Linked DNA regions of Tamandua tetradactyla. The protein of the gene in region 2 purifies or fractionates together with the protein of the main gene of each other region. This does not show direct contact. Links are inferred from orthologs where the notes say so. Each region holds a gene or a part of one and is shown on either strand. Other genes may lie near its edges.

Evidence for each region.
Region 1: the proteins of KLHL22 (region 2) and NUDCD3 purify together in Homo sapiens (co-immunoprecipitation; 3 studies listed by BioGRID and IntAct, counting the BioPlex papers as one, with this or other methods). This does not show direct contact. The link is inferred for Tamandua tetradactyla from reciprocal best matches to the Homo sapiens genes KLHL22 and NUDCD3.
Region 3: the proteins of KLHL22 (region 2) and NIPSNAP2 purify together in Homo sapiens (co-immunoprecipitation; 3 studies listed by BioGRID and IntAct, counting the BioPlex papers as one, with this or other methods). This does not show direct contact. The link is inferred for Tamandua tetradactyla from reciprocal best matches to the Homo sapiens genes KLHL22 and NIPSNAP2.

The regions. Positions count from the first base shown.
Region 1 is NC_135327.1:65,911,994-65,921,940, forward strand, and holds the start of NUDCD3 (nudC domain-containing protein 3), read right to left. Parts: upstream 4,597-9,947; 5' UTR 4,274-4,596; coding exon 4,082-4,273; intron 1-4,081.
Region 2 is NC_135331.1:27,298,161-27,307,825, reverse strand, and holds the start of KLHL22 (kelch-like protein 22), read right to left. Parts: upstream 4,401-9,665; 5' UTR 4,357-4,400; intron 348-4,356; exon of another isoform or gene 174-347; intron 1-173. UniProt on the Homo sapiens protein: Substrate-specific adapter of a BCR (BTB-CUL3-RBX1) E3 ubiquitin ligase complex required for chromosome alignment and localization of PLK1 at kinetochores.
Region 3 is NC_135349.1:18,620,773-18,631,118, forward strand, and holds the start of NIPSNAP2 (protein NipSnap homolog 2), read right to left. Parts: upstream 4,034-10,346; 5' UTR 3,982-4,033; coding exon 3,890-3,981; intron 3,574-3,889; exon of another isoform or gene 3,377-3,573; coding exon of another isoform or gene 3,363-3,376; intron 1-3,362. Other genes in the region: MRPS17 (small ribosomal subunit protein uS17m), read right to left, coding at 6,256-6,525, 7,897-8,019. UniProt on the Homo sapiens protein: Protein involved in mitophagy by facilitating recruitment of the autophagy machinery required for clearance of damaged mitochondria.

The DNA.
Region 1 (9,947 bases), on a different chromosome or scaffold from region 2:
GTGACAAGACCCATCATGAACTGCCCACTTATGTTAAAATAAATCATTGTCCTCTCTTAAGACTAAAAAAGTATTCCCAGTGGCAAAACAGAAACTGTTAACAGGAAGGTTCCAAAATCAACAAAATAAAAAACTCACAAGCCAAGGTTTATAATATTTACAAATCTTATAAGCACGTCTTTCTAAATTAAAAGATGTCTAACTAGATGGTCTTATCAGTCATTATCTTTACAGACCTCAAGTCTCGTACAAAATGCAAAGGAACAAACTGTTCTAGTATTCAAAATTGTAAAGATGCCAACAACTCCAACTCAAAAAAAGAAGATGAATATGTAACTGATCTTCAATCCACAAAATCAACCAAGCTTGCTTTACTACTACTATCTTTCCCATACTGCAAGGGCTGATAAGAGATACGTATGAGATTTAGAAAGCTTGGAAATTCAATTCAGCAGACATCTAATATTTGCCTACAATGTGGAAGGAGTACAACAAATCAAATGAGAGCTCCTATTCCTACGACTCAAAATTGTGGTGTGAATGTGGTATGTGCACAAGCAGCCCTTACCCTTTCCTGGGAAACAGTCACACCCATGAAAAGTATGGGGACATCTTCACCAAAAAAGTACATGTATAACATGACATTTCGTATGCACTATTCAAGGGGTACACATGACACCTGAAGTCTAGCAAAGTAAACCTTCACAAACAATTCTGGTAAAGAAAGGCTGTGATAAACAGATGTAATGTCTTATCAGTCTATAAGGATGGGAATGGGTATATCTGGTGAAAGTCCTCTTTCTTGGAAGGAAGGGGATCTGAACTAAACTTCGAATGAAGTAGAGCTTCCATAAGAAACTATAGGAGGAGGGCAGGCCACAGTGGCTCAGCAGGCAGGAATGCTTGTCTGTGATGCCAGAGGACCCGGGTTGGATTCCCGGTGGCTGACTATGTAAAAAAAATTTTTTTTTAATTTAAAAAAAAAAAACTATAGGAGGAAATGTCACTTTAGGATAAACAGATGAGCAACAAGTACCAAAAGTAGTGCCATCCAGAAACAGTAAAAAACCCTACAGTAGCTGAATCAACGGTCTCCTCTTACAAGGTTGGAAAGACAGAGATCAGTCTTGAAAAGTGGGCAGAAATCAGATTTTGAAGGGCTAGAATGCAGTCAGATATTAAGGCGTTTTATGCACCAGGAAGGAAAAAAGAAAAAAGAAAGTGCTAACATACTGTACTATGCCAAGGATAGTACTATGCCAAGGATTTCACATTCTGTGACAATCCTATGAGGAAAACAGTATCAATGCTTTAAAGATGAGAAAAATAAGACAGAGAAGTTAAGTTTGCTGACAGTCTTGCAAGCGAGAGAAAAGAATTCTTTAATTACAAGGAAGCACCAAACAGTGAGAGTAGTTACAGAAAGGGAAAACAAATAAAAGCCCTCAAGTTAAAAACTAGAAACAGCACCAAATTCATTTCTATTTTTTGGGATAACCTGAACCCAACTCTGCCCTCTAGAGCATCCACGTGTATGAGGCTTTGGATCCATTGACCAGACCACAGCCCATCAACATGCCAAATGCTCATCTTAATGCCACCAAAACAAAGCAACAGCAAGGACTCTCTTCATCGCATGTCTGGAGATTCTAATACAGGATGTCACCATGCTCTCCACCTTTGCTTACCTAGCACTTCCAACCTTCTACAACCAGCCCATCTGTGATCTCCAAACATGCTGCCCCACATCACTTCTGACCTCCCAATCACTATACTCTCAGTATTCATTTAAAATCACAGAATCGTACAACTTTCTAGAAGAGACATCTGTGGTCTTCCAATCAACCTTCTCAATCAACAAAAGTGAAGTAACTTTCCCAAGATTTTCCCAGTTCCCACCTCTGAGAGACAATTCCGTACTAGTACCAAGTTATTTAATCTAATTCAGTATTTTAATGCCCTACCCTACAACAAATGCCATGACCAATGTTGAAATCACCTTCACAAGTATCCTATCAAATGGGCTTCTGTAAAATAAAAGAACACATCCCCAGGCTTCACAATGTCCAGGCAATGTGTGCTTTTAGTTCCTCAGACACTTCCAAGTTAGGAACCACTACCAGAAATCATTACGCCCTCTTAACCATCATCTGAAAATTCTGTTCCTTGGTTTATGCAACACTTACTGCCCTGCTCACTTACTTCTCATTCCCTACTACTCATATGTCACCTCTTGCTTCTCCCATCTCTGAACTTCAATTGTTCCACAAAGGAACCAATTACAAGTCTTAGCCTAAAAGAGCGTTGAGAACAAAACACACATTCTATAAATGGTTAACAAATAAATTACCTGTCAGTTCACCTGTAAAATAAGGGCAAACATCAACCTTTCAGATTGTGGTAAGGATTAAATAACCTAACTTCCCAGAATGTAAAACATCAGCTATAAGTAGTACAGAATAGGTACTCAGGAAATGTTCCTTTCTCCTCCACTTCTCTTCTACAAGCTATAATCATCCCAGACAAAAACGCTCTTTCTGTACTGTAGAATGATTAAATGATAGAGTAGAAAGACTTGGAATCAGAAAACTGAAGTTTTGAGTTTCAGCTCTATGATGAACTAGCTGTGTGTCAAATAACTTGAACTCAGTCAATTGGAACCCTCATCTGTTACATAAAATTCAACCTTATATTTTTACAGGGACATTGTGAAGTTCAAATACCAAGACTCATGTGAAAGAATTAAACTGCTTTATGGTTCTGCTAAAAATTATCTCTATAGTGTTCCTTGATCACTTGGCTCACACTTATGCCACTGACAAAGATAAGAAAGAGCCTTAAGTTCTGAAACTGAACACCATTTGAGTCCCGACACTCAACTGACCATATAATCTTTGGTAAATACTCACCCCTTCAAAGCTTTTGTTTCTTCATCCAGACATTGAGCAAAATAATACCTGACCGACCTGCTTCAGCGATCTTGCAGTAAGACTTCAAGAGATAACATCCAAAAGCACTTTATAAACTGCAAAGCTCTAGATAACTGTGGGAGGTCTCATCATTACTATATTCTCCCGTTCCTATAAACAGATTCAAGCTTAGTGTATACCTTCAATAGTATCAAAAGTCCCACCTCTACAAAACTTTTCTTGATTTACAATCGTAGTTTATATTTCTTTCCTTCCGATAGCAGCGCCGTAAGTTCTATCACATAAATGGCTCTTGAATAGTTCTCAACTACTTTCTGTGCTTTTTCTTCTTAAACATAACAATTTAAATGTCACAGGAAGAAAAGATCATTAACAATACGTCATATTACCAGTACATCTCCAGTGCCCGTGGCAGCTGAGAATATAAAATACATTCAGTAAATACTTGCTTATTACTACATACAAAAATATACAATCAACTTCACTGAATATTAATAGCTCCTCAAACATTCAAGAAACGTATATACATACACAAATGCAAACTTAGTGATCACTGTTAATGACTGTTTCTGACCTAGGAATTCACATTTCAAACAAGGTGATCACTCCCAATTATCAACAGTTTCACAGCCATCCCTTCCACCTCCAATCTGGGTCGCGCGGATCTCTGTTGAAGCAAATTTCAAGTGCCTCCAGTCTGACCTAATATCTGCATTGTTTTCATTCCATCACTACCAGTTCCTGTCGCACTGGGCCCTAAAAAAACCTGTTTACTACATCTGACACCGAAGTATATCATGTATAAAACCTGGTTGCTTAAGATCCTATCACGGCTCCACGAAATAACCTGATACCGAGCAGCACTTCTGATTACAAAGAGCTTGCATGACTATTATCTCATCTGGTCATCACTACCACCTTGTCGGGTAGGACTCGGGAATCACCAAAAGAGGAAACTGTAGTTGGCAGAAGTAAATTGTCCCACAACATGAAAGAGGAGGGGGTAGAACGACAGCCAGGACTGGCCGGGAAGTTCAGGGCGCAGGTTCCCCGCCAGGCTGAGGCTGCCAAGGCCTTGCCGACCTCAGTGGTAGGCCACGGGGCGGAAGAGCAGACGGACAGAAGCCCGGGGCTGCCAGCTCCGCGGTTACCTGCAGCACCAAGGCCTGTGCCGCCCCCGGCGGAAAACCCATGCGGTCGGACGGGTGGCGCAGCAGGCGGTAGAAGTCGGTCTTGCGGTAGAGGAAACCAAAGAGGACGCGCAGAAAGTCCTGGACGTTGCCCACGTGCTGCAAGATACCCAGTAGGGCCTGGTCGTATAACTCCGTAGACCCAGGCTCCATGTCGTCGGACCAGCCAGGAGGACAGTTCAAACACTGCCTGGGTACGACCGACAGCGACCAGACCCAACAAGCCACTTCCGGCGTGCTGCAGCTAACTGCTCCTCCGGACAGCGCGGCCGCGGAATTTCTGGTCCGGACGCGGCTCCCCTTCCCCGGGCAAACCCGGAGCTGCGTTTTGGCCGCGAACCGTGGGCAAGGTCTTTACTTCCCCTTCCTGGATTGCTGGCCAGCCGACCATTGCTGAAAGAACCCGATACACGAATGGAAGCGCCTGCTAAATACAAGAAAGCCAGCTATTGCTGACGCCTAGTGACCATGTTTGAAATGGGCGGAATAGTGCTGAAGGCACAGGCATGGGGGCACAGGTGTCACGTGATCCATCAGTTTTTGTCGCATGGTCTGTAGGAGGCTTGATAAAGATAAGGGGGAATTCCCGCTTACATATCCCGAACCCCGTGGTTAAAGCTGGAACTGCTTTTGTTAGTGGGTCAGTTAGGGTAAAATGCGTGTATGTGGGTTGTGTACATTTCTTGTTAATGACAGAGTTGAAACTGAAATTCAAAACATTGCATAAGGAGAAATTCAAGGTGGCATATAAATAAAATGAGAAGAAAAGAAATGTGAAGTGAATGTAATTGTATATTAATTTAAAAGAGCATCTATTAATTTAGATGCAGAATTAGAGAATCCACTATGCCACCACTGTGAGATTATGTCATCTATGTCGTATGTATGTCATGGGTGCATAAGTATCTGTCAAAGTATGCTTTTCAAAAAGTTAAAAGCCTGACACATGCAAATATTAAATGAACAAATCAAGATTTCGTTCAAAAAAATAATGAAGAAGCAAGTAAAATGGTAAAGCTGGCTCAAAGAGCATTTCTTTTTCAAAAGCATTTTCAGGAACTGGGTATTTGTATACATTTTGAGAAAACAATGTTAGAGTAAAGTTATTAGGTTAGATGAAAAGGTGTTTGTTGTCCTACGTGATAATAAAACCATGGGGTTTTTTTTTTCTAGTAAATAGAAATGATTTACATCTATAATGAAGTAAAATCCATAAGTTGTATATATTCACAGTGTATGGGGCTCTAAGAAATTGTAAAGAACAAAGTCTAACCCTTACATTGTCCTACAGCAGTGGTTCAGAAATTATTGTCTTGGAACTTATTTGAAATTTTAAAATTTGTCAAGTGCTCCAAACAGGTTTTGTTTATGTGAATTATACCTATGGATATTTACATATTAGAAATTAAAACTGAGAATGTAAATATATATATATTTATGTATTCATTTTTAAATAATACTAATAAACATATGTGTGAAAATATTTTATGAAAAAAATATGGTTTCTCAGAGCAATGAAGATTTATTGAGAAGAGGAGCATAGTTTCACATTTTTGCAAATCTCTTTGATGCTTGGCTTAATAGAAAAACAACAGGATTCCACATCTGCTTTGCATTCACTAGGTCCAGTATTTTGTTCGGGTGAAGTATATGAAGAAAACACAGTCACGCATGTAGGTAGGTGAAAATGAAAGGAAGGTTTTAACTCTTTTCAAAAAAATGTGAATACTTTTTTCGATAGGCGGTACTTTCTTAAACATTAGTTGTAATATGGAATCTAAAACCACATCAATAAACATTTCCTACTCTGTAGCATTAGTATCTATTGGTCTAGCCTGCACTTTGAATGAATCTGTTATACATATGATTTTATTTACTTTTTTATTGTGAAAGATAACATACATACAAAAAAGTAATAAATTTCCCAGTACATTTTAACAAGTAGTGTACAACAAATTTTGAAGTTTGGAATGGGTAACGCTTCCATGACTTTTCATTTTTTCTTCTAGCTACTCCAAGTCGCTGGGGACCAAAAGGAATATCAATATGTTGATTCAGCAGTCATATTCGTTAAATCCTATCTTCTCTATTATATTCTTCCTTCTCTTTTTTCTTTTTTTTTGTGAAAAATAACATACGTACCAAAAAAGCAATAAATTTCAAAGTACATCACAACAATTAATTGTAGAACAGATTTCAGAGGTTAGTATGGGTTACAATTCCGCAATTTTAGGTTTTTATTTCTAGCTGCTCAAAGGTAATGGAGACTAAAAGAAATATCAGTATACTGTTACAGCACTCATATTCATTTGTTAAATCCACCATCACCTTCTATCTATAACTCCACCATCACCTTTGATCTTTCTCTCACTCTTTAGGGATATTTGGGCTAACTTTTTCATGTTGGAAGGGGCTATCGACAATATAGGATAGGAGGATGGAACTAGTTGATGCGCTGGAAGGGCTGGCCCCTGGGCATTTCAGGATTTATCTGGTCCAGGGACCCATCTGGAGGTTGTAGGTTTTCGAAAGTTACCCTAGCACATGGAAACTTTCTAGAATCTATTTAATGCCCTAGGTATTCTTTAGGATTGGCAAGAATGGTTTTGGTTGGGGTTTGGCAAGTTACGATGGTAGCAATGTCTAACTGAAGCTTGCATAAGAGTGACCTCTGACATCTTTTATTGCTCCGATGTGACCTCACTCTCTCTAAGCCCAACTCTGAAAGTGAAATCATTGCCCTCCCCCCTACATGGGACATGACATCCAAAGGTGAGAGACTCCCTGGCGGCATGGGAGGTGACTCCCAGGGATGAGTCTGGCCCTAGCAAAATGGGATTGACAATGCCATCCTGGCCAAAAGGGGGAAAAGAACTATAACAAATTAGGTATCAGTGGCTGAGAGAGTTCAAATAGAGTCAGGAGGCTACTCTGGAGGTTGCTCTTACCCTAACTTCAGTTAGACTTTGCTGCCTATCATAACTTGCCAAACCCCAACCAAAACCATTCCAACCAATCCTAAAGAACACCTAAGGCAATATACAAGAGTCTACAAAGGCTCCATGCACTAGGGTAACTTTCCAGAAACCTACAACCTCCAGATGGGACCCTGGACCAGATAAAGTCCTGAAACTAGAGGGGCTAGCCTTCCCAGAACATCATCTCCCTACCCTTTATTATTGACAGCCCTTCAAACATGAAAAAGGTAGAATGGGCATAGCCCAAATACCCCTGAAGAGTAGGAGAAAGATCAAACATGGTGGTGGAGTTAAACAAAGAAGGTAGCATTTAACAAATGAATATGATTGCTGAATCATTATATTGATATTTCTTTTAGTCTCCTGTATCTTAGAGTAGCTAGGAGTAAAAACCTGAAATTATGGAGTTGTAACCTATACCAAACTCTGAAATCTGTTCTACAACTAATTGTTGCGCTGTGCTTTGAAATTTATTGCTTTTTTTGTATATATGTTATTTTTCACAAGAAAGAAAAAATGGGATGATATATAGATATATTCCTTCTAGCCCCTAATGTCTGGCGCACCTAGAAGGAAAAATCTAAGAGGATCGTATGGTAACCCATGACAAACTCTGGGATCTGTCCTATAACTACTTGTTGAAGAGTGCTTTGAAAACTATTGTTTTTTTCCTTCTTTACTTTGTGTATATGTTATATCATTTAAAAAGTTTTAAAAAATTCAACAAATGGTGCTGCAATAACAGGATAATCACATGGAAAAAGAATAAAATATGACCACTGCCATACAGCATACAAAAAAAAAGTGACCTCCAGAGTAGCCTCTCAACTCTATTTGAACTCTCTCAGCCAATGATACCTTATTTCTTACACTTTGCTTCCCCCTTTTGGTCAGTATGGCACTGTTGATCCTATGGTGGGGGCCATACCCATATGATTTTGTAACATTATGCATTAGTCATTTTTTATATGTTGTTTCACTGTGTTATGCTACCTTTTGCTGCTTTTCCAAATGTTCACTTCTTTGGTTATGCAGTAGCAAACAATCACATTCAGTAATATCACCCCTCAGCTCTTCAGAAAAATTTTCAGTTATTAGGAAGCTTTCTGTCTAATTGAAGCAAGATGCAAATTTACTGAAATTCTAATTTTCACTTGGAAACTTGTTTCTTATTGGCCATAAATTCTGTCAGTTGTTTTCTGTGAAGTGGTAGATTCATTTCACTCCTCTGTCAGTCTTTCTTTTAACTAAGAAAATAGTATTCCATAGAAAAGTGTTCAACTTGTCAGCTGGCAACTCATTAGCACAAATGCTTATCCCTAAAGCAACCACTGTATTTCAGTATGGGGCAGGAGCATTTTACATGTACTTCTTTTTTCATCACATAAAATATTAAAAGGACTTGTCCTCAAGTTTAAAGATTTAACACGTTTCATAATTTTAGCACTTCAGCAGGGACAGTATTAAGTTAAACTCAATTCTTTTACAAGTTCAAGATAGTGAAAAATAAAGTGTTTACTAATAGAGTTTATATTATTCCCTTGATTTGTTCTAAGACACACTTTTATCCACCACTGTTTTGCATCATCATTGTAAATATCAGCATGGTAAAAAGGCAGTGCGGTACAACAGGAGCCAGAAATAGAACACCAAAAAAACCCAAGGATTACCAGCACTCAAAAACAAAACAGGCAGACTCAAGAAGTCAACAAGCTATAGTTCAGATGCAGCTTCATTCAGTGTTTTAACATAATTACATTACAATTAGGTAGTATTGTGCTGTCCATTTTTGAGTTTTTGTATCCAGTCCTGTTGCACAGTCTGTATCCCTTCAGCTCCAATTACCCATTATCTTACCCTATTTCTAACTCCTGATGGTCTCTGTTACCAATGACATATTCCAAGTTTATTCTTGATCATACATCTATGTGATGATATTAAGAATTACTGATTGCATATGTAGAATGGAATGATTTCTAAATGTTGTGTTAGTTAATTTTTTTAATTAATAAAAAAAATACATGTAAGTGCTAGGTCAGACAGGAAAAATTAAAAAATAAACAAACCAAAAACTAGGAGCAGCAGGAAGAAATGAATGAAAGCATTAGGTTCAAAAAAAAAGAAGTTAACAAGCCTTTCTGATAATCTTTTTTTATATATGTTTATTGAGAGATATCCACACACATAGAATCCAACCATATTATTATAATAAATGGCTCACAATATCATTACATAGTTCTGTATTCATCACCATGATCATTTTTAGAACATTTGTGTTACTCCAGAAAAAGAAGTAAAAACTCATACATCCATAGGCCTTACTCCTCTCACTCACTGACGCACAGTATTTCGATCTACCCAATTTTTACCCTTTATCTCCCCATTATTTGTTTATTTTTTCTTTTTTTTTTAATCATCTGTCCATAGTCTGGATAAAAGGAGCATCAGATGCAAGGTTTTTACAATCACACAGTGTCATAGTCAAGTTCATGTGTCAACTTGGCCAGATGGTGATACCCATTTGTCTGGTTAGGCAAGTGCTGACCTGTCTGTTGCTATGAGGACATTTTATAGAATTAAATCATGAGCACGTCAGCTGCATCCACAGCTGATTCTATTTGTAATCAGTCAAGGGGAGTGTCTTCTGCAGTGAGTGATGCTTAATCGAATCACTAGAAGCCTTTTAAGAAGGATTCACAAGAGACAGGCTCTCTTCCTGCTTCGGCCAGTGAGCCTCTCCTGAGGAGTTCGTCCAGACCCTCCATTGGAGTCATCAGCTTCACAGCCTGCCCTACAGATTTTGGACTCTGCGTTGCCATGGTTATGTGAGATACTTTTATGAATTTTAT
Region 2 (9,665 bases):
ATTCTCTTTCTTGAGGTTCTGAGATTCAAGGACAGTAACTATGAGCACACGGACATCATCTTTACTACGTTGGAAATCGCAGGTTACCTTCTCACAACCGGGTCCCTATGTTAAAAGAATACAAACTGATTTGAACAGGAGCCTAGGAAATCCAATCAGTAAAACAAACCTACTGCCAACACACTTTTGCCATGGACTCTGAAGCCAAGCAGGACAGCCTGTGGACAGCAGGCTGCTCTGGGGCCCGCATTGCCTCCTCCAAGGCTGTGAACATCGCCTTCTCCACTGCACATCACTCCACCGCGCCCTTCCAAATATGTGGAATTCTTCTCCAATTCCCCACTATTCTTTACAAGAAAAATTGAAAAACGATTCTAATGTAAATGTGAAAAGAGGAGGCCTCCCTCCTCACCCCCCAAGCCCAGGAGCCTTGCTCTCACTCCCCCCTGCCTCCCTACTCCAAGGCCTGTTTGCTCTGAACACTCATCAGTGCCACTCCGGCCCCTCTCCTGCTTCCCATCAAACAGCCTAGTGGGATATGGATTAAAAATAAATAAATAATAAGGGGAACAAATGTTAAAATAAATTTAGTAGATTGAAATGCTAGTGATCAATGAAAGGGAGTGATAAGGGGTATAGAAAAAAATAGAGGAAACAAAGGCTAAAATATATTGGGTAGATGGAAATACTAGCAATCAACGAGAGGGAGGGGTATGGTGTGTGGTATATATGAGTTTTTTTCTTTTTTCTTTTCATTTCTTTTTATGAATTGATACAAATGTTCTAAGAAATGATCACGGTGATGAACATACAACTATGTCATAATATTGGGAGTTACTGATTATATACCAAGAATGGAATGATCATATGGGAAGAATGTTTGTGTTTGTATGTTGCTGTGTTTAAATAAACAAAAAACAGCCCAATGTGCGCTCTTTCACTGCCTTCCTGCCTCTCAGCGTGGGGCCTCCACCCATGTCCCTCTCCGTCCTCACCACCCTGGGCAGGCTCTTGCACCAAGGCTGCAGAGATGGCAGGGGCCGAGGTACAGCCACTGCCCACTTCTTCACCTGGGACTCTCCCTTGCCTTGAAACTGCCCCATGGCAATGCACCCTTCTCTCTGACCCTTCCCTTCACTCAACACACCATACTCCAGCCCACCCGGTTCCAAGAGCGTACCCTCACCTCAAACACACCTCCTCCAGCTCCACACCTGATCCAGCCAGAAGCCCTCCGACTGTTCTGGTTTTGTTACTGGTACAAACACCACCTTCTACGTCAGAAGCCCCACAGTCTCAATTATCCCGTCTCTTGAGACCAGAGCCTCTAGTTACGATTCTTCTCTAGTCCCTTGTCTCAGACAGTCACTCCCACATTCCACCCCCAGCCAGCACCTTCGTTCAACCCCTGCAATGACATCCAAACTTGTCTCGCTATCCTGCTGTCTGATCCTTTCCCGGTTTCCCCGCTCAGGCCACACGGCCGTCCCACGACGTCCCTCCTCTGATTCCTGACTTCTCAAGCATGGCCTCCTCCTAGTACCACTTGGGGCTCCCCAAATTTGGCTCAACTCTCCTTCAAGCTGTACTTCCGTCAACATCCTGTTGCTAGCTTTTAGACCCAAATGGACACCCATCACCCTCTGCCCGCCTTCACCTGCCTGCCTCAGTTTTTCTGTCTCTACAACCCAGAGCTGGTCAAGGTCTAGTTCAATCACTTCTCTCCCCAGGACAAAGAACACGAGGGCCACACTCCATCAATCACAGCAGGCTCACCTACCCAGGAGATTCCAGCTCCCGGACGGCTGGCGTTTTATCTCATGCACTTGCTCAGCCCAGGGCCAGCTGCACCACTTGCTGACAACATGACTCTGGGAACTTAGCTCCAAACCCCAAGCCTTGGCTTCCTCTTCAGTAGAGAAGACTGGCTGCAATCACAAACACCCAGTCCCCAGGCGGGGGCCCCACGCCACCTGGAGCACAGCAGCCCCCCATTCTTTGGAAAGGAAGAGGTGGAAGGCAGCTACCCCTCAATGCCTACTGCAAAAACAAGTCCACAAAACTGGGAGGCTGTTTCCTTGAGTAGGCCCAGCCCCCATTTAACAAGCACAACTTGAGGAACTAAGCTAGGTGTTCAGGGGTGTGTAAAGAAAAATGAAAGCATTCCCTGCTCAGAAGGCACACGACAGAGCGCAACATGTTCAAGACAGCATATGAGAACCCTCTTCGTAAAGCAAACACAAGCCACCCCAGAAACATCTGCCTTGGAGATTCAACAGAATACCAGAAGATAGTTTCAGTGAGCCAAGGAGAACTCCAACCACAGCAGTCAACACAGAAAAACCTCAAAGTCATGCAGAGAGAAACAGAGAGGGCACAGCAAATTGCACAATTGTGCCTACAAAAAGTTCGAAAACATGTAAAACAATGCTCTCCCTATATTGGTTACAGATGGATGTTATGATGGTATAAAACAGAACAAAAACATTGGAATGATAAATAAGATTCAAGGTCATGGTTACCTCCAGGAAGGACCAAAGGTTTTATTTCTTAAAAAAGAAAAGGCAAGACAAAGCATTAGGATTTGAATGGGACAGGTGGTGTATCATTCTCTGTATTTTTCTGTCAGCTTGAAATATTTAATAAAATCTCACTTATTTTTGAGTGTGTTAATACATTCACGTGATTCTAGTTCAAAAGGTACAGTAGAAAAGTATACCATGAAACTTAAGTTTTTCTTTCACCTACATCCTAACTAATCTTCTCCCACACGCAACTATCATTCCACTTTCCAGAAGGAAGGGGATGCACAGGAAAATATACCCTATTCCTGCACAGTCCATTATATGGAAAGCCATTTTTATTTGAACAATCCTCTGTGGAGGGGCATCTGGGTTTCCTGCAGTTTGTTATTGCAACCAGTTTGGCCCCGCAACTCAACTATGCATGCCACAACATACATGTGGCAGTTATCTGAGGGAAATTACTGAGCCACAGAACTACTGAGTCATTTTTACTTTAAAGTATATTTTTAATTTATTTCTTATTTTTGGGGTGCACAGCCTAAGAACTGAACCCATGTCTCCCACATGGCAGGCGAGTATTCTACCAGTGAACCACCTGTACACCGAATATTTTTTATTTTAAAGGATATTGTCAAACTGCCCCGCATACAGGTTATGCCAACTTATTCTCCAAGCAGCAAAGCACGAGAACCTGAGAAGCATGAGAAACTGCCTAACTCACCAATAGTGTTTCTTTATAGTCTTTGCTCTGACTGAAATGCAAAAACGCATTTCAGAGTTTTTACTATATAGTTTAATATATAGTAAATGTAGTTATACATATATAGATAAATTCATATTTCCACAATTGACAGCATTCTAAAAAAACAGAAAATTAAGCCAAATGCAGCACACCCTTTATGATTCCCTTCTCACACCTGTTTTCTGGAATAAAGACTGCTCTTCCAAGCTGAAGCTGTGGCACCCTCCCCTCCCGACGTATTTTACAAAGGACTACCCTGAGGCTCTTCCCCAGATCCCTCTAGCCAGATCCCAGATCCCTCCAGCCAGATCCCAGATTCCCACTCGATGCCTTCCAAAGTTTCAGAGAATCAAAGAGTAAGCCTTAGACCCCCATCAAGTACAGACTGGACAGAAAAATAATTATAATGAAGGTATGCCTGGCAGAAAGAATTTCAACTGCACAACCATTTACTGGGTCCTAAGGTGATCCTCCGAGGAGCCCCAAGACGAACCCCGGATGTAGGCAGCCTGCAGGAAGAGTTACAGCGATGGGCCAGGGGTACGCGAGGAGAGGACAGGAAGGGAGGCTGGGGGGGGGGGGAATCTCCCCGAAAGCGGGACCCCGCCTCGCGCCCCAGGACCTGGCCCCTGACGGCGCGGTCTCCGCGTCCCCTCAGGACCCCCACACTGAACCCCTCAGACGGTGGCCAGAGCGCGAGCGCGCGGCCGGGGAAACTGAGGCCCTAGGTGGCGTCAGGCCCCGCCCCGCGCCCCGAAGCCCCGCCGCAGCCGCCTGTTGCAGGCCCGGGGCGCCGCGGGGAAGGTCACGCTGAGGCCCGCCGCGGGCCACTGGCCTACCCGGCTGAAGAGGCCGCCCCAGGGGCCCCCGCCCCCCGCCAGCCCCCGCCGCCGCGCCCCCGCCGCGCCCCCGCCACGTCAGGCCGCGCGCTCGCCTCAGGCCGCCGCCCCCGCGCCTCAGACCGCGCCCGCCCCGCGCCCCTGTGCGCCCACACCGCTCGCCGCGGCCCTCCCCGCCCGCCCCCGCCAGTGTTCCCGGGCCGGCGCTCCCCAGCCCGCCGCCGACACCGCCCTGCGCCTCGCAGCTCACCTGGGGAGCCGCCGCAGGCCGAGGCCGACTCGCGGGGCGGGGGCGGGGCGCGGGGAGGGTGCGTCACGTGGGCCGCGCGCAGGCGCAGAGGCGAAGAGAAGGCCGGAGACAGGGGCTGGAGCCCGCAGCTGCTCCGCGGAGGAGGCCCCACCCGCACAGCGCCGGGCGCCTGGGGGAGCGCGCGGAGGATTGAGGACCACCGACCCCCGCCTGGCAAGGGTCCCTCAGCGTAAATCCGCGTCCTCCTCCCCCGCTCCTGCCCCCCTCACTCATCCATCACTCCCACCCTCCCTCCCTCTCTCATCCCCCACCCCCCACCCTCTTCACGCCCACCCTCCCTCCCGCTCACTCATTCATTCATTCCTTCTTTCCCTGCCTCATTCATTCCTTCCTCCACCAGTAGCCGAACCTCTAGGTGGATTTGGAGAAAGGAGACGCCTAAGTCTGGGCCAGGCCCTGGGAAGTCAGGTGGAAGAAACCTGTGTGAACAAGTTGTTTTATTTTCCTTTGACCTGGACTCTGGACTAAGTCCAGTTTCCAAAATCTCGGGCCTTGTCTCAGTCGTCCCGAGGGGACTCTTGGAGCTTGTTTTTCTCCACACCGCATCCAAGAGGGTCCGGGTCCTCCAACACCACATCTGATGGCCATGTGCAGATGTCACAGTGCAGGGTCTCAAGATAGATGGGGTGGGGGTGACCTATAGAGGGGGTGGGGTGAGGTGTGGACAGGGAGTGCTAATGGTTAAAAAGAAAGGGGGAGGGGAAGACAATAAATGAAAGAGGAATGATGTCCCAGAGAGTACCAGAGAACCCAACAGGGAGCAGAGATTCCTAATGAGTGCGTTCCTGGGAAGGCTTCCTGGAGGAGGTGACCCCTGAGCTGTACAACAGACGGAGACTTCTGGAGAGCAGGAAAAGCATTCCAGGAAAGGGGACAGTGTGAATGAGGCATGGAGGCAAGAACCAGCCGTGTGAGTGACTGGGAGGGCCCCAGGGTTTTCTGAGCCTGAAGGGAGTACTGGAGACCAGACAGGTTCCCCCTGGAGGCTTGACTTGACCCCGAGGGCAGCAGAGAAGCTGATTTGCATTTCATAGTGGCCTGGGCTGCACAAGCTGCTCTGCAGAGCAGGGACTAGGAGGCTGAGAGGCAGGAAGTGAGAACAGAGGTTGGTGCTGCTGGAAACCTGGGAAAGGGGCAAGTTCCAGGATATGGACAAATGATAGGTAAGTGGAGAGCCCGAAAGGAATGGTGGGGGACAGGGAAGGCAGAGCAGGAGCTGACTGGGAATAGAGATGAGGCCCTCTTGGCCCCAAGAAGTTTGAGGGGCCTGCCAATGCCATCTGAGGACCCCACTGAGGGGGAAAGTATGGGGTCAGGAGAAGTGGCTGAGGACAGAAGCATGGACACATCAGGAGCACCCAGAAAAAAGGCACCCACAGAGGTGACTGGGGATAAGGGCTGAGGACCACGTATCAAGAGAGACCCTGAAGAGAGAAGCAGCATGACCCCTGGATCTGCAACGATGGCAGAGCTGGCCTGCAAGGATGGAGGTGTGGCTGGGAAGATGAGAGGGACAGATGGAAGCCCATTCTGGGAGAGGGGAAGGGAGTACCTTCACAGGTGGGAGAAGGGGTCTGGTGGATGAAGAGGGTGGAAACAGGTGAGAAGTAGGCAGCCAGAGGAGCAAGGGAAGGGGCTGGGGAAAAGGGGACACATCTCTGAGCTGGAAGAACCATCTCAAAATATACCAGGTCAGGTCAGTGGTTCACCACTGGAAAGTTCTAGAGAAGGAAAGTGGCAGGATAGGAGGAGGCCTCTGTAGCTGTGGTGTGCAGATTTTCTGATATCCTCCCGTGGATGTGTGCACTTCCTAGGAACTCCTCTGAAAGAACTTCATCTGCTCCTCCACAGCTGTATCCCAGCACCCAGAACAGGGTCTGGTACTCAATTGGTGCTCGGTAAACACAAAGTGAGAGCATTGGAGCAGAGAGAAATGGGAAGCAGGGAGACTGGCTAAAGGATGGTTATAAATGACGGAAGACTTTCTAAGCCTCAACCCAGTGGAAGATATCACAAAGGAAAAGAGCAGCAGACCTGCCTGCAAAGCAATTTGATGGCAGTCAACTTAAAAAGAAGGCGAAGACATTTTTTTGCAACTAAATGATAACAAATGGCAGCCTTAATATCTAAAAAATTCATAGAAAACAGTAACAGAATATAAAGATTCCAATAGTTAAATGGGAAAGGACATGAAAAGTTAATACATGAAAGTGGAAGAATAACTTCATACTTCATAAATACTGTGAAGAATCATCACCTACTGGGACAGTAAAAGAAATGCAAATTACTGAATCAGTGACTATAATCTGCGATGTATACAACAGAAAAAAGATTAGTATCCAGGACCTCTAAAAATCAATAGTAATTAGAAAGACAACCAGCCAGAAAAATGGCAAAGGATATTTACTGAGCATTCCCAGAGAAGGAAGTACCCTGGTTGTAAACAAAGTAGAGTTCAGTCTCATTACTAATCAGGAAATGCAAATAAGTTGCCGCTTTTTGACACATCAACATGGTGAAATGTAAAGTGGGATGAAATCACGATTTGGTGAGTATGGGGAATATACATGTGTTCTAGTTTGCTAGCTGCCGGAATGCAATATATAGAAACAGAATGGCTTTTAAAAAGCAGAATTTAATAAGTTGCTAGTTTACAGTTCTAAGGCTGAGAAAATGTCCCAATTAAAACAAGTCTATAGATGTATAATTTAAGGCATCCAGGGAAAGATACCTCGGTTCAAGAAAGCTGATGAAGTTCAGGGTTTCTCTCTCAAGTGAGAAGGCACATGGTGAACACAGTCAGAGTTTCTCTCTCATCTGGAAAGGCACATGGGGAACACGGCATCATCTGCTAGCTTCTTCTCCTGGCTTCCTGTTTCGCAAAGCTCCCCAGGAGGCATTTTCCTTGTTCATCTCCAAAGGTTGCTGGCTGGTGAACTCTGCTTCTTGTGGGTATGTCGTTCTCTGCTCTCTCCGAATCTCTTTCTCCAAAATGTTTCCTCTTTTATAGGACTCCAGTAAACCAATCAAGACCCATCCAAATGGGTGGAGACATGTGGTCACCTAATCCAGTTTAACAACCACTCAACTAAATCACATCATCCAGGGAGATGATCCAATCACAGTTTCAAACATATGGTATTGAACAGGGATTATTCTACTTTTATGAAATGGGATTTTGATTAAAACATGGCTTTTCTAGGAGGCATACATTCTTTCAAACCAGCACAACATGTGTTGCTGATGGGAATGTTGATTGGAACAGCCAATTCGGACAGTGTAGTGGTTTTAAAATACATCTGTAAATTCTTTACCTCACCTCCTGTGCTGGTTTGGAAGCACCCAGAAAAGCTATATTCTTTTAACCCAATCTTGTGGGGGCAGACCTATTGTGTGGGTGGGACCTCTTGATTAGATTGTTTCCATGGAGATGTGAACCTACCCATTCAAAGTGGGTCTTAATCCTTTCCTGAAGCTCTTTATGAGAGAAAACTCTGTGGACACAGAAAGTAGAAAGACACAGATGCTTGGAGACAGACAGAATCTCAGAGAGTAGTTCACCAGAACCTGGAGCTGAAAGCAGTAAAAGCAGGGAGAAAAGGGCTGGCAGATGTCACCTTGTGCTTTCCCATGTGACAAGAGAAAACCCAGATGCAATCAGCCTTTCTTCAGTGAAAGTATCCTCTTGGTGCTGAAATTTGGACATTTTCATGGCCTTAGAACTGTAACTTGTAACTCAATAAATCTCCACTATAAAAGCCAATACATTTTCAGTGTCTGCCCATGCAAAAAAAAAAAAAAAAGGCCAATATGCTTCTGGTATATTGCATTCTGGCAGCTTTAGCAAACCGAAACACCTCCTTTCGAAAGGTGAGACTCACTTTCACTCCCCATGAATACTTCCAAATGATAGAATGAGGACAAAGTAATGGCATGTCATTTTCAAGGCCAGATGATAACCAGGCATTGCAGCTTCCCTCTTGTTCTCTGTTGCATTGCTCATTCTGTGGAAGTGAGCAGCCATTTCGTGAGGACACCCAAGCAGCCCTGAGGAGAGGTTCCCGTGAAACAGGTCTCCAGCCAAAACCAGCTTTCCAGCTGAGCCATCTGCCTGGAATCAGATCTTCCAACATCAGCAAAGTCTTCAGGTGATGGCAGCTCTGGCCAGCATCTCCCTGGAGCTTCATCATGAGAGGCACTGTTTCAGAAGCACCCAGCTAAATCTCTCCTGAATTCCTGAAGCTCAGAAACCATGAAGCACGAGCATTTATTATTGTCATTTCAAGCCACTTAGTGGTGTAATTTGTTTTTGAACATTTGCATCTCCCCAGCAAGAGAAAGAAAAAAGAGAAAACTCATATATGCCATACCCTGTCCATACCCTGGATAAAAGGAGCATCAGACACAAGGTTTTCACAATCATACAGTCACATTGTAAAAGCCTTATTATTATACAGCATCTTCAAGAAACATGGCTACTGGAACTCAGCTCTACAGTTTCAGGTACTTTGCTCCAGCCACTCAAATACACCATAAACTGAAAAGGGAATATCTATATAATGCGTAAGAATAACCTCCAGGATAACCTCTTGACTCTGTTTGAAATCTCTCAGGCAGATTTTAAATAAAATGTAAAATGCCTCTGCAAACCAACAATTCCACTTCTGCATAATATTCCATCTTATGTAAATGTCACAGTTTGTTTAGCCAACTGTCTGTTGATGGACATTTTGGCTGTTTCCATCTCTTGGTAATTGTTAATAATCCTGCTATAAACATTGGTGTGTAAATGTCTATTTGTGTCCTTGGCCTCATGTCCTTTGAGTAGAGACGGCATATAGATGGGTCCTGTTTTTAATCCTTTCTGCCAGACTATGTCTTTTGATTGGAGGGTTTAATCCATTAACATTCAGTGTTATTACTGCATGGGTAGTACTTTCTTCTACTATTTTGCCTTCTGGATTTTATATGTCCTATCTAATTTTCCTTCTTTTTACCTTTACTCATAGTCTTCCTTTCTACACTCTTCTCCACACCTCGCTCTTCTGTCTTCGTATCTGTCTCTAGTGTTCCCTTTAGTATTTCTTGCAGAACTGGTCTCTTGGTCACAAATTCAGTGATTTTTTTGTCTGAAAATGTTTTAATTTCTCCCTCATTTTTGAAGGACAATTTTGCTGGATATAGAATTCTTGGTTGGCAGTTTTCTCTTTTAATAATTTAAATATATTATCCCACTGTCTTCTGCCTCC
Region 3 (10,346 bases), on a different chromosome or scaffold from region 2:
TTCTGCACACATAAAGTATTTTGAGCACCTGTACGAAACTCTGGGCCTGCACTGAGCAAGCTAAGGGAGATTTGCTGGCCATTGCACAGTCAGGCCGAGTCTCCAGAAGTCCTCCTGCCTCCCTTCAGGCTGCTATTGCAATGCCACCCACAGCACCCATGAAGGCAAATCCAGTTTCCTTCTGTCACCTTCCTTGACTTCACAGCAGCATCTGGCTCCTTGAAATATCTTCTCCTTGGGCACCATCCCCTAACAATGACCCATCTCGCTGCTCTTCCCCAGACTTCTCTGCTAGCTCCTCTTCCTCCATCCAGCTTGTCACTCTTGGCTCCTCCCAGGACTCCTTTCTCAGTCCCTTCTCTTTCTGCCTTCTCTCCTCAAGCAACTGCATCCATTCCTCTGGCTTAAAAAAAAAAATCTTATGATGAAAAGTTTTGAACAAAAACAGGAGAGAGAACAAAATAACAAAACCCATGTACCCATCACTACTTATCAACACTTTTGGCATTTCCTATGTGCTGAAAGCTCCCAAGTGTCACCTGTAGCCTAGACATCTCTAAGCTCTGGGTCATAAAGCTAACTGCCTACTAGGTGTGTCCATGTGAATAGCTTGCAGCCATCTCAAATTCTACCGGAATCAAAACTGCCCCAGATCCGTCTTTCCATACCACCTGCCCTGCCCCCTTGCTCTGCCCTGATCCCTGTTCTGTGATTTCCTAGCAATCAACCTGATGGCAAAGACCATGTATGCCTTACACACTGATGTTCCCCAACAGTGCCAGCACTTGGTGGGCACCCAGACATCTGTGAAACAAACACCTCTCAGTAAACAGCACCAACATCTTAGCAGGTGCCCATTACCTTTGATTCTGTAGCCTCTCCGAAGTCAGGCTGATCACTTTTTTGATTCAAAAGAGTTATTTTGTAAGTTTAAGATTGAAGGTGTACTTCAGAAATAGTCTGAGAAGCAGGAAAAAGATTTACCTATACAATAAGGTAGTTAGAAAAAAATCAGTCATTTTTCACATGGGATGTCACTTTAGCTGTGATATGAAAAACTGATTTTTTGCACTTGCTTAGTACTCTAAGGAAGTTGTAGGGGTCTATTAGAACATGAATGAAGAAATAAAGCCGGTCATATCCAGATGGGTCATACATGTTCTTTAGGGATATTTATGGCAGCCTGAATAATTGGTTTTTGTTGTTTGTTTCTCTAAATGAACGAATTCACCATCCATAGACTGCAAGACTGTGTACCAAGTTTTAACAGTAGTAAGAAGAATTCATGACTGATGTGAAGATGTAACAGATTTGCACATACAAAGTGAATGAATGTGGCAGCCATAGTGATCTCAATTAAACAGGATAAACAATATACCTGACTCACGAAAGTTACTTTGAAGGCTGCATATGTGAAATCAAACATACCATTTGGAATTGCTTTTGGAGACTATGTGGTTATTATAATTCCTGGTCTAATTTTAACATTATCAGTTCCCTGGAAATGTTTAAAAATGAAAAACCCATGTCTTGACTGAAGAGTCCATATTATCTGAAAATTTAATGTTCAAAATTTTTATGACTAAGCACTTAATACCTTTTGATATCTAGTATAACAATTCAGTGGACATTTGGCTAAATATTCTACTAGCGATTTTGGTACTATTAAATTATTGATCACAGTGTATGACTTTTAAAATAAAGCTGAATTCAAACTTAGTTAATATTTATGATTTTTTTAAAAGTTAGAAAATATACATATACATTTATATATACATATAATATACAAATAGGATTGGTCTTAAATTTTTTGTTTTCTTCTACTTAAGTCCATTTTTATAATTTGTATTTTTTCTAGGAAAACTCCAGCTCTTCATTGATTCAGTCACTCTCTCATTCATTTAACAAATATTTTCTGGTTTCTTACTGTGAGAGGCTGATCTTTTAAAAACACAGATCAGACCAAGCGACACTAAATTTTATACCTTTACATGTCTTCCATAGCTCTTGGAAAAAGTCCAAGCTTCCAGGCAAGACCTGGAGTCCTCTGGCCACTGCTCCCTGCCACCTCTCCTCTGGCCTGTCGCCTTCCATTTGTTCTTGAACTCTAGTCCTCTACACTCTTCTTGGGTTTCCTTCCTACTCAGATCTGTCTGACTCAGGTCTCAGCTTAACATCCTTCCATGATCTCACGTGGCAGATTCCCCAATTCTCTCTTAGCATGTACCTCAATTTCTAAGTCTATGTGGATTTTTACCACCTACCATGGATCCCTTGGGACAGTGACTGTGGCCATTTTGCTCACTGTTGTAGTTCCATATGGCTCCAAGTACATTGTGTGAGCTCACTATGTGAGGGGATGAGTGAATTAACTGGGTCTAGGCTGAGGCTCAGAGAATACTGCCTGTCAAGGCAGACTAGAGGCCAGAATAGAGTGGCAAAATGCCCAGGAGATCTCAGAGTGTTCTTAGAATAATTAGAGAACCAACAGGTCAGAAATACACAAGGACTCCAGTGTCAACAGCATGTGGCCTCTGCAGGAAGTGGGGGTATCAGACCCAGGTCCAAATCTCCAGTTTACTAGCTCTGTGACCTTGAACACCTTAGGTGAACACATTCTAGGCTGTCTTTTGAAAAGTGGACAATACCAAGTTCCTGGGTTTGTATTATCTGTGTGATAAGGCACACCATGAATGCTCAATAACAGGAAAAAAAAAAGGAAGCTGTTGTTAATCAGTTTGAAACCATAAATATCAAATTTAAAGAATTTAGAAATTCAAGGCGAACCTTATGTTAGGAAGGGTGCTGGGTCTGAGGCCTGAGAAATTTGGATTCAAATGAATTTTCTGGCTATTTCTCCCCCTCTCTGAGGTTCCCTCTCCCCATTTGTAAAATGTAGATTCTACAATTTATGTTTTAAGAATATGATTAGGATTAAATTTGCCATTTTATCTAAAGCTTCCTGGCCTATATTAAGAGTTTCACAGGTAGTTCTTTCGTTTTTCCCCAAGTGCCAACTATACTTTGTAGAGGATGGTAATTTAAAAAGTAACATTTAAATCACCCAGGTAAAGAAAACGAGAAAACAAAGCAAATCTATGGTAACTTACTCTAGGATTTAGTTTTTGAATTTGGAAAATGGGAGGTGGATATGGATATAGACGGTAGATTCAGAAAAACGAACAATTACTCCAACGAGGTTTGGGAAAAAAACTTTAAACATGACCTCAATGCCTGGTGCTGACAAGTGTATAATACTTTTTGATCCACTCACTATCTCCTTTAAAATCCGAGGCAAAAAGACTGTTCATAACGCTATCACGCCCTAAGATACGCCCCCCCCGCCCCCACTGAGGGCTCACCGGGGGCGATGCATTATTTTATTTCATGCTCGCCACAACCTAAGAGGTGTCATCCCTGCGGCCGCTTTGCAGGAGCACGCAGCGAGGCTCTGGGCAGCGAGCAGCTTTCTCAGGCTGCAGGCGGAACCCGCAGGGCGAGTCCAGGGCCTGCGGCCTCAGCCGTGGCCGGGCGCTCCGGGTCAAGATCCCGCAGGCCCGGCCATGGCGGGCGGGCGGGCGGACGTGGCCTCCGCGCCGGGCAGCAGGGGCCGTCCCGGGCGGAGGCGGGGCTGCGCGCGGTCCGTCCCCGTCGTGACCTTGAGCCCGGACGGCAGGGAAGGCACTCAGATCCTGCCGAGGCTCCGGCCCGCCGATCCCGCCAGCCGCAGCCTCGCCGCCGCCGCCGCCGCCGCCGCGCAGCCTGGACCGCCCTGTCGGGTGAGGCACGCGGCCGAGCCGAAATGGAGGCCCCCGCCAGGGACCCCCGCGCCCTGCGCCCCACGGACGGCCCCTCCCTGGTCGCTCCCGGAAAAGGCGGCGCTGCTCACCGGAGCTCGGGCAGAAGGCTGCGGGGAGCGGCCCGCTGCAGGAGGCCGCCGGCCAAGGCCACTCCGGCGGCCCGTAGCACTCGCGCCGCCATCTTGCTCCGGCGCCTCGGCTCCCACCGCCCGGGCGCCGCCGTGACGCCGCCGAAGCCGCCGCCACTGCGACCCCTCCCCCGGCCGGGCGGCCGACAAGGCTGGGGCGGGGCGGGGCGCGCGACCGCGGCAATGCGGGGCGCGGCCGCCAGGGGGCGCAGGGCGCGCGGCCGAGCCCGAGGCGGGACGCTGGGCGGTGGGTCGAAAGTAGTCGGAAGCCTGAAAAGCACCGCCTGCCGAACAAGATCTTGCGAAAGCTCTCGGTGCCCAGAAGGGGGTGTGCAAAGGGAACACGAGCATGGCTTGAATATGAATGGAAGGATTCACAAGCAGAGTACACCGTTGCCTGGCGGAAGCGGGAGGCCGAGCGACATGTGTGGGTGGGTGGTTTCTCCCCGAATATCTTTCGAATTTGGTGCCATGTGAAAATTACCTTTCCAAAACATAATCAACACTTTAGTAAAAGGCATTTTAGATGGGAACTTACTAAAATACTCTCGCAGTCTTGTGACTACATTGTTCCTGTTCACTTCAGCACCCATGGGCTCTGGCCACCGAAAGACCCCCGTCCCTGTCCTCACGCGGCCACTCTAATGGGGACAGGATGTGACCTGACGAGTGTGTCAAGTGCTGAGATGGAAAGGTTCACAAGACGCGAAGGAAGCAAGAAAGCGCAAGTGACCGAGGGTGGCTGGGTGGCGGATAGACCACGGGAAAATTCCCAGGGCTGCTCCCCTGCGGAAGAAGGGAAGACATCCCTGTCAGAGGGCACAACGTGAAGAAGCGTGTGCCCGGGAGACACTGTTTAAGGAAACCGTATCCCGTGGGAAAATAAGAGTCACCGATGTAGCCATGAAAAACTGCGGCAAAGATAAGTTGGGCAGAAAACGTTAGATCCTCAGAGGGGGCGTGACAGGGAAAATGCATTTCAAGGAAGCAGTGGGCTGGGGAGAGAACAAGAGGTGAGTTCCCTCCTGAGTTGGCCACTAGGTTTCTGTATCTGGGCAGTGGGGAGGGGAACTGGATTTGTGGATTGAGGGCTGCCCTGAAGCTGGGAATCTTGGGGATGAAGGGAGGGTGGAGGCTTTTGGACTAGGCAGAATTTGAACACATTAAAAGGACAAGGAGCCACCAGGCAGGAAAAAGTTGTGGTTGGAGGAGTGGCTGGGGAAGCATCTGTCTCCTGGAAGCCAGAGGCTGGTGCTGAGGGACTTCTTGCCTTCACCGGGTCTTGGTTAGAGGGGCTACAAAGGCTGGATAGGCCCCAAAGGAAGGCTGACCCAAGCTGCCCCCAATTCTCCAGAGCAGGAGATGGGGCCTCAAGCTAGAGGTGTCCAAGAGCCTGTGGCTTACTTACACATTTTCCCCACCATTCCCCTACCCATGTTTGTTGTGAAGGCACCCGTGCCCACCTCCTGCTTTAGACTGTAAGCCCTGAGGGTGCCCGTGGTTACTGTTGAAACACTGTGAGGACAATAGGCCTATTTGCTGAAGTTGAAATTTATGCTCTAAGTCTCTTTGTAGGAACCTGAAAACTGAAATATATAGTTAAATTTTTCCTCAGGTCAAAATCTAAGTCATCACAGTTCATTAAAGAATAGCAAAAATGCAGATACTTTCCAACTCAGATGCATGGGAGAAATCCTACAACTTCATTAATGTGTCAGATTTTAAGAACTCATGCCTATTTAATCTAGCCTAGGATCTAGGATCTAGGACATAAAAAAACTGACACAGAATTCTTACATTTTATTTTCTACTTGCTAACATCTTTATTAATACAGCTTAATCTGACAAAGTCTGACCACGAGCATGTTGGTTATTTCTCTTTGGAATTGGTGAACTCAGAAAAAAAAAAAAAGAATTCTGAATATAGACCATAAAAAAAAGACAAAAACAAAACACTTAGTGTGATCTAATCTTTTTATAATAGCAATAGTTTTTCTTCTCCCAAAATAAAAGTACTGAGATAAATTCGAGATTCCTTAGAATGAAAAAAATAATACACCCTCTAAAGCAATGAGCTTGCAAAATGATGCAGCAAACTGCTAGGCACACAGTTTAACAGGAACTTAATGTTCACTGAAAAAAGAAATTGGAACTCTGACCATAATCTTTATGAAAATTTATAACAAGCCCTTTACCAAATTTACTTTTATTGACTTCATAAATATCAGAAGAACAACTGGACACAGTTTAAGATGAGAGTTAGCAAAGTTTCTTTTTCCATAAAACAAACTTGTCTTTCCCTTTGGCAGCTTTTCTCCAATTCTCTTTTATTGTGTTGAAGAGACACTAAGTTCTTTGAGATTTTTGCTTAGGTGGGTGGTTTCCAGAGTGACTGGACTCTCCAGGTACGTGGTTCCTGCACAGGGTTTTCCTGTCACTGGATCTATGACTTTTCCCACTTTGAAAATGATCTCAGCTAGTTCATGCTTTACGTGCTTTGTTCGTGGAACAGGTAATGCTTTGAGAAGCACGATATCCCCAACAGTGCACTGCTGGAGGGCATCGTGAGCAAAGTAGGTTTTCCGCTTATTAAAATACTGTTGAGAGAAGGAGATGAACAAATTAGTAGCACACATCTGTGATCTGGCAATGCAATATGGAATAAAAGGTAATGCACAGAGAGCAAACTGGGACTTGGGAAAAGAAGATACTTAGCTGCTTATTCTTTGGAAAACACCAATGACTATTCCAGAGCTGATCCTATCACTGAACTTGCTAGGACCCTTGCTCTATCAGTTATCATCTCTCTCGAAATTATTTAAACTTTCCCTTCCCATTGGGAGCCTTCTCTCCAGCCTATAAAGATGCTATTCTTATCACAAGCTGTATGATTGGGACATAATCACTTAATCACCCCAATCTGTCCCCCCCCACCCCAATAAAAAGAGCTCTAATAGCTGCATCTATAAAGTTATCATGAGGATTAAACGTTGTATGTAAAGAACTTAATCCTATGCTTGTCTCAAAGTGTTTAAATAAGCCATAAATGATAATTAGAATCGCCAGACTCACAACCATCCTGCCATAGCAGGTATTTGTGCACATTAAGTAAACTCAGGTCTTCTGCTTCTAAGGCTAAAATCAAGCTGTCACTCTTCTGCTTGCTCCTGGGTTTTAGAGTCTAAGTTAAGAACAGCATTTTTGTTCACCCAAGCTGGAATGCTGAACCATCTTTGGTGTGTCCCTCTTCCTTGTACATCTAAGAAACCAATGACTCTTATCCCTTCTTCCTAAAATCTACTCTTGTCACACCAGCCCTGTTGACTCAAATTTTGTTCAGATCCTCATCATTTCCATCCTAGACTTTCGCAATAACCTCTTTACTGATTTCCTTACCCCCATCCTCCATCTCTAATTGTCTCCAAGCCTATCTTTCCTTTGCTTTTAGAATGAAATCTGAACTTGTAAACACAACACACAAAAAAACTTCATGGTCCAGCTTCGACTATCCTTGCCATTCATTCAACCAGTCTGCCTACCAACAGTCCACTCTCTGGGTCCACCCTGCTGGATCAGGCCCTTTCATGGCCAAATGAAAGTCCACATACTAATCATGGCCAGAACGACTTCCCTGACTTGGTTCTCTGGATAAAATCCTATTTGAGATTCAGCTCAAATGTCTCTTAATCAAGGATGCTCTTCTCCAGCAACCTGGGAGGAAAGAATGACATTTCCTATTCCCTATCTCACAGTATTTGCATATAGAATGACCACAGCAGGCATTGGACTGATTTGAAATTAACTCTAGGTCTCCCCAGAATGTAAGTAAGGCCCACGACCAATTCACCTGGCATACACATAGGCTACTCAGTGTTTGGCAACAGCTGACACATCTTTAGTGGTAGAGAAGTGTTTTTCTACCCAGGTTCTAGGAACATGTGGGTGCTGAAAGCAGGGATGCTCCTCACCTTTAATAAATAGTTATCCAGAACAAGCCTGGTCACTCTCACTTTAGCAGTTTTTTGCATTGCTGTCCCAATCACCTTCCCCACGATCCATTTGGCATGGACAGAAGAGCGAGCTATTGACATTATGAGGTTTTGGTCACCTGAAAAACAAGTTCCAAAACTAAGAATAGGGTGCTTATGACTCGCCAAATGACTTTTGTCATTAGAACTGCCCAAATTCAGAAACAGCTTTTGTTCGTCTTTTGAAATCACTACTTTCCTACACATTCCACTATTTCCTTAATCATCCAACCTCCCATTTTTCTACTCTTGGCAAATCAGTAAGTTTAATCTCTCAGCCTCAGTTCTCTCCTCTGGAAAATGGGGATAAGGGAGCCTAAACGAAGGAATGCTTTGGGGATTTAACCGGTAAAGCGGTCGTTAATGCGAATAAACGTTGGCCTTTACTGGTGTTTCACCTTTTCACATCTCGCCGGGTTGACGCTGCCAGAAGGCTCACAGCCTGTCTCCCTCGAACGCCCCCATCCCCGCTAGATATGCGGCTTTGAGGATCAGTCAACGCTGAGCCCACCCCGCCCGGCCTGGGGACGGCTGGGAGCGATCCCTCCATCTCCCCTTCCTCGGACAACCTCGAGGTCACGCGGAACTCGACGCCTCAGCCTCTCCCGGGACTCACGAGCTCCCGAAATCCCCTCTCGGAGCAGCGACCTCCAAAAAGCGCTCACCTTAGGAACGGAGTCTATCCTGTCGCGCGGCCGGGGAAGCGCCGGCTGGAGCGTGATGGCGTCACGCCGCACAGACCGCTGTGCGTCAGACCGCCCCTCTCATTGGGCGTGGGAGGGGTTAAAGGGCTCCAACCACGCCCCCTCTGGAGAGCCCTGACCTTGGCATTCAGGGTGACCCTAACTTCTTGTCCCGGCGCCCGGCGACCAGAGGTCGGCAGTAGGGAGTGGGCGGGTGGGTCTCCTGTCTCTCCTATTCCATTCGGTTTCCTCTTCCGTTGTCTTCCAGGCACTGGAGAAGGCCTTGCAAATTATAGGAATTTCATTCATTCAACAAGTTTTCTAACATCAATACTGCTTAATACTGAAGCTGATTTTCTTTAAAAAAAGAAAAGCCGCTATTTTCTTTTTAAAAAAAAAAGTACTGTGGTAACATATACATAATACAAAGTTTGACCTTTAATCACTTTTAAGTATATAATTCAATGGCATTAATTACACTTACGATGTGCTACCAACACCACCATCTATACCAAAACTTTTTCATCACCCCGAACAGAAACTTTGTGCCCTACAGGCGCTTTTAAGAGCAAAAATTGTAGACTTTTTGTTCCGTATGATTTTACATGTTATTTCTCAATATCAGTGAGAAGTAAGGAAGTTGGGTGTGGGTACATATACAGGTGTTTGCCAGTTATGAATGAGTTTGTTGGGGATGAGGAGACTGATGCCAGGGATACATTAGACTCTTGTTTGGAAATTGCTAAGAGGAACAGCAAACAATAGGCTACTGGAACAGACCAAATACGGTTGGGGTCAATCTACCCTGATCACTGAAACATCTTTGCAACTAGTGAGGAAAGACTGGGAACATAAGAACTCATCCATATATCACTCTGTCCGACACTTTTTTTTTTTTTTTTAGCAAACATTTATGAAGCGCTTACTTTGTGCTAGGCACTGGAGGGTTAAAAAAAAAATGGATAAAATGAGGGGCCCCACCCTCAAAGAGCCCACAGTCTAGTAGGGGTATATAATATGTCCTGGATCCACCTATGTTTCTTTCTATTTTCAGCCAGTCACCACTTCTTCCCAAACACTACTTCCATTATATTCAACTCATTTTCAAAAACACTTTAGGGCTCTCATGTATCACTAGGATAAGTTTTAACCAAATGCTTTGGACATTTAAGATCCCTGCCTCATATATTCAATCTTGCCTTTCTCTGTACCCTATCTGGAATTCCCCACTCCAGCTGGAATGGCCTCCTCATGGTACCTAGATACCATGTTCTCTCCTACCCCATCTTTGCTTCTGGTGTCCTCTTCCCTGAGAATGCCTTTCCCTTGCTCTTCTAATTGTTCAAATCCTACTTGTCTTTAAGGTCCAGCTCACACCTCACCAGTCTCAGGAAGCATTCTTTGACTTTACACCATCACTCATTTTTTGCTTAGCATGTGTTTATGTTATTTAAATATTTTTGAGTGTAAAATAACAATTGCAATTTTTATTTGTTTCTACAGACTAATGCCCAAAGAGACTGTAAACTACATAATGGTAACCATATGTCTTAAAGGGTTTTTGTTGTTGTTGTTCTTGGTTTTGAGTCCAGAGCGGCCAGTACTACCTAAGAGCATGTTAACAGCCCCTTGATAGCTAAGTTAATAAATAAGGGAGGATCTGGGGATATTGAGACAGAGGAAGAGGCTAGGCAAGTGGAGTCCTTT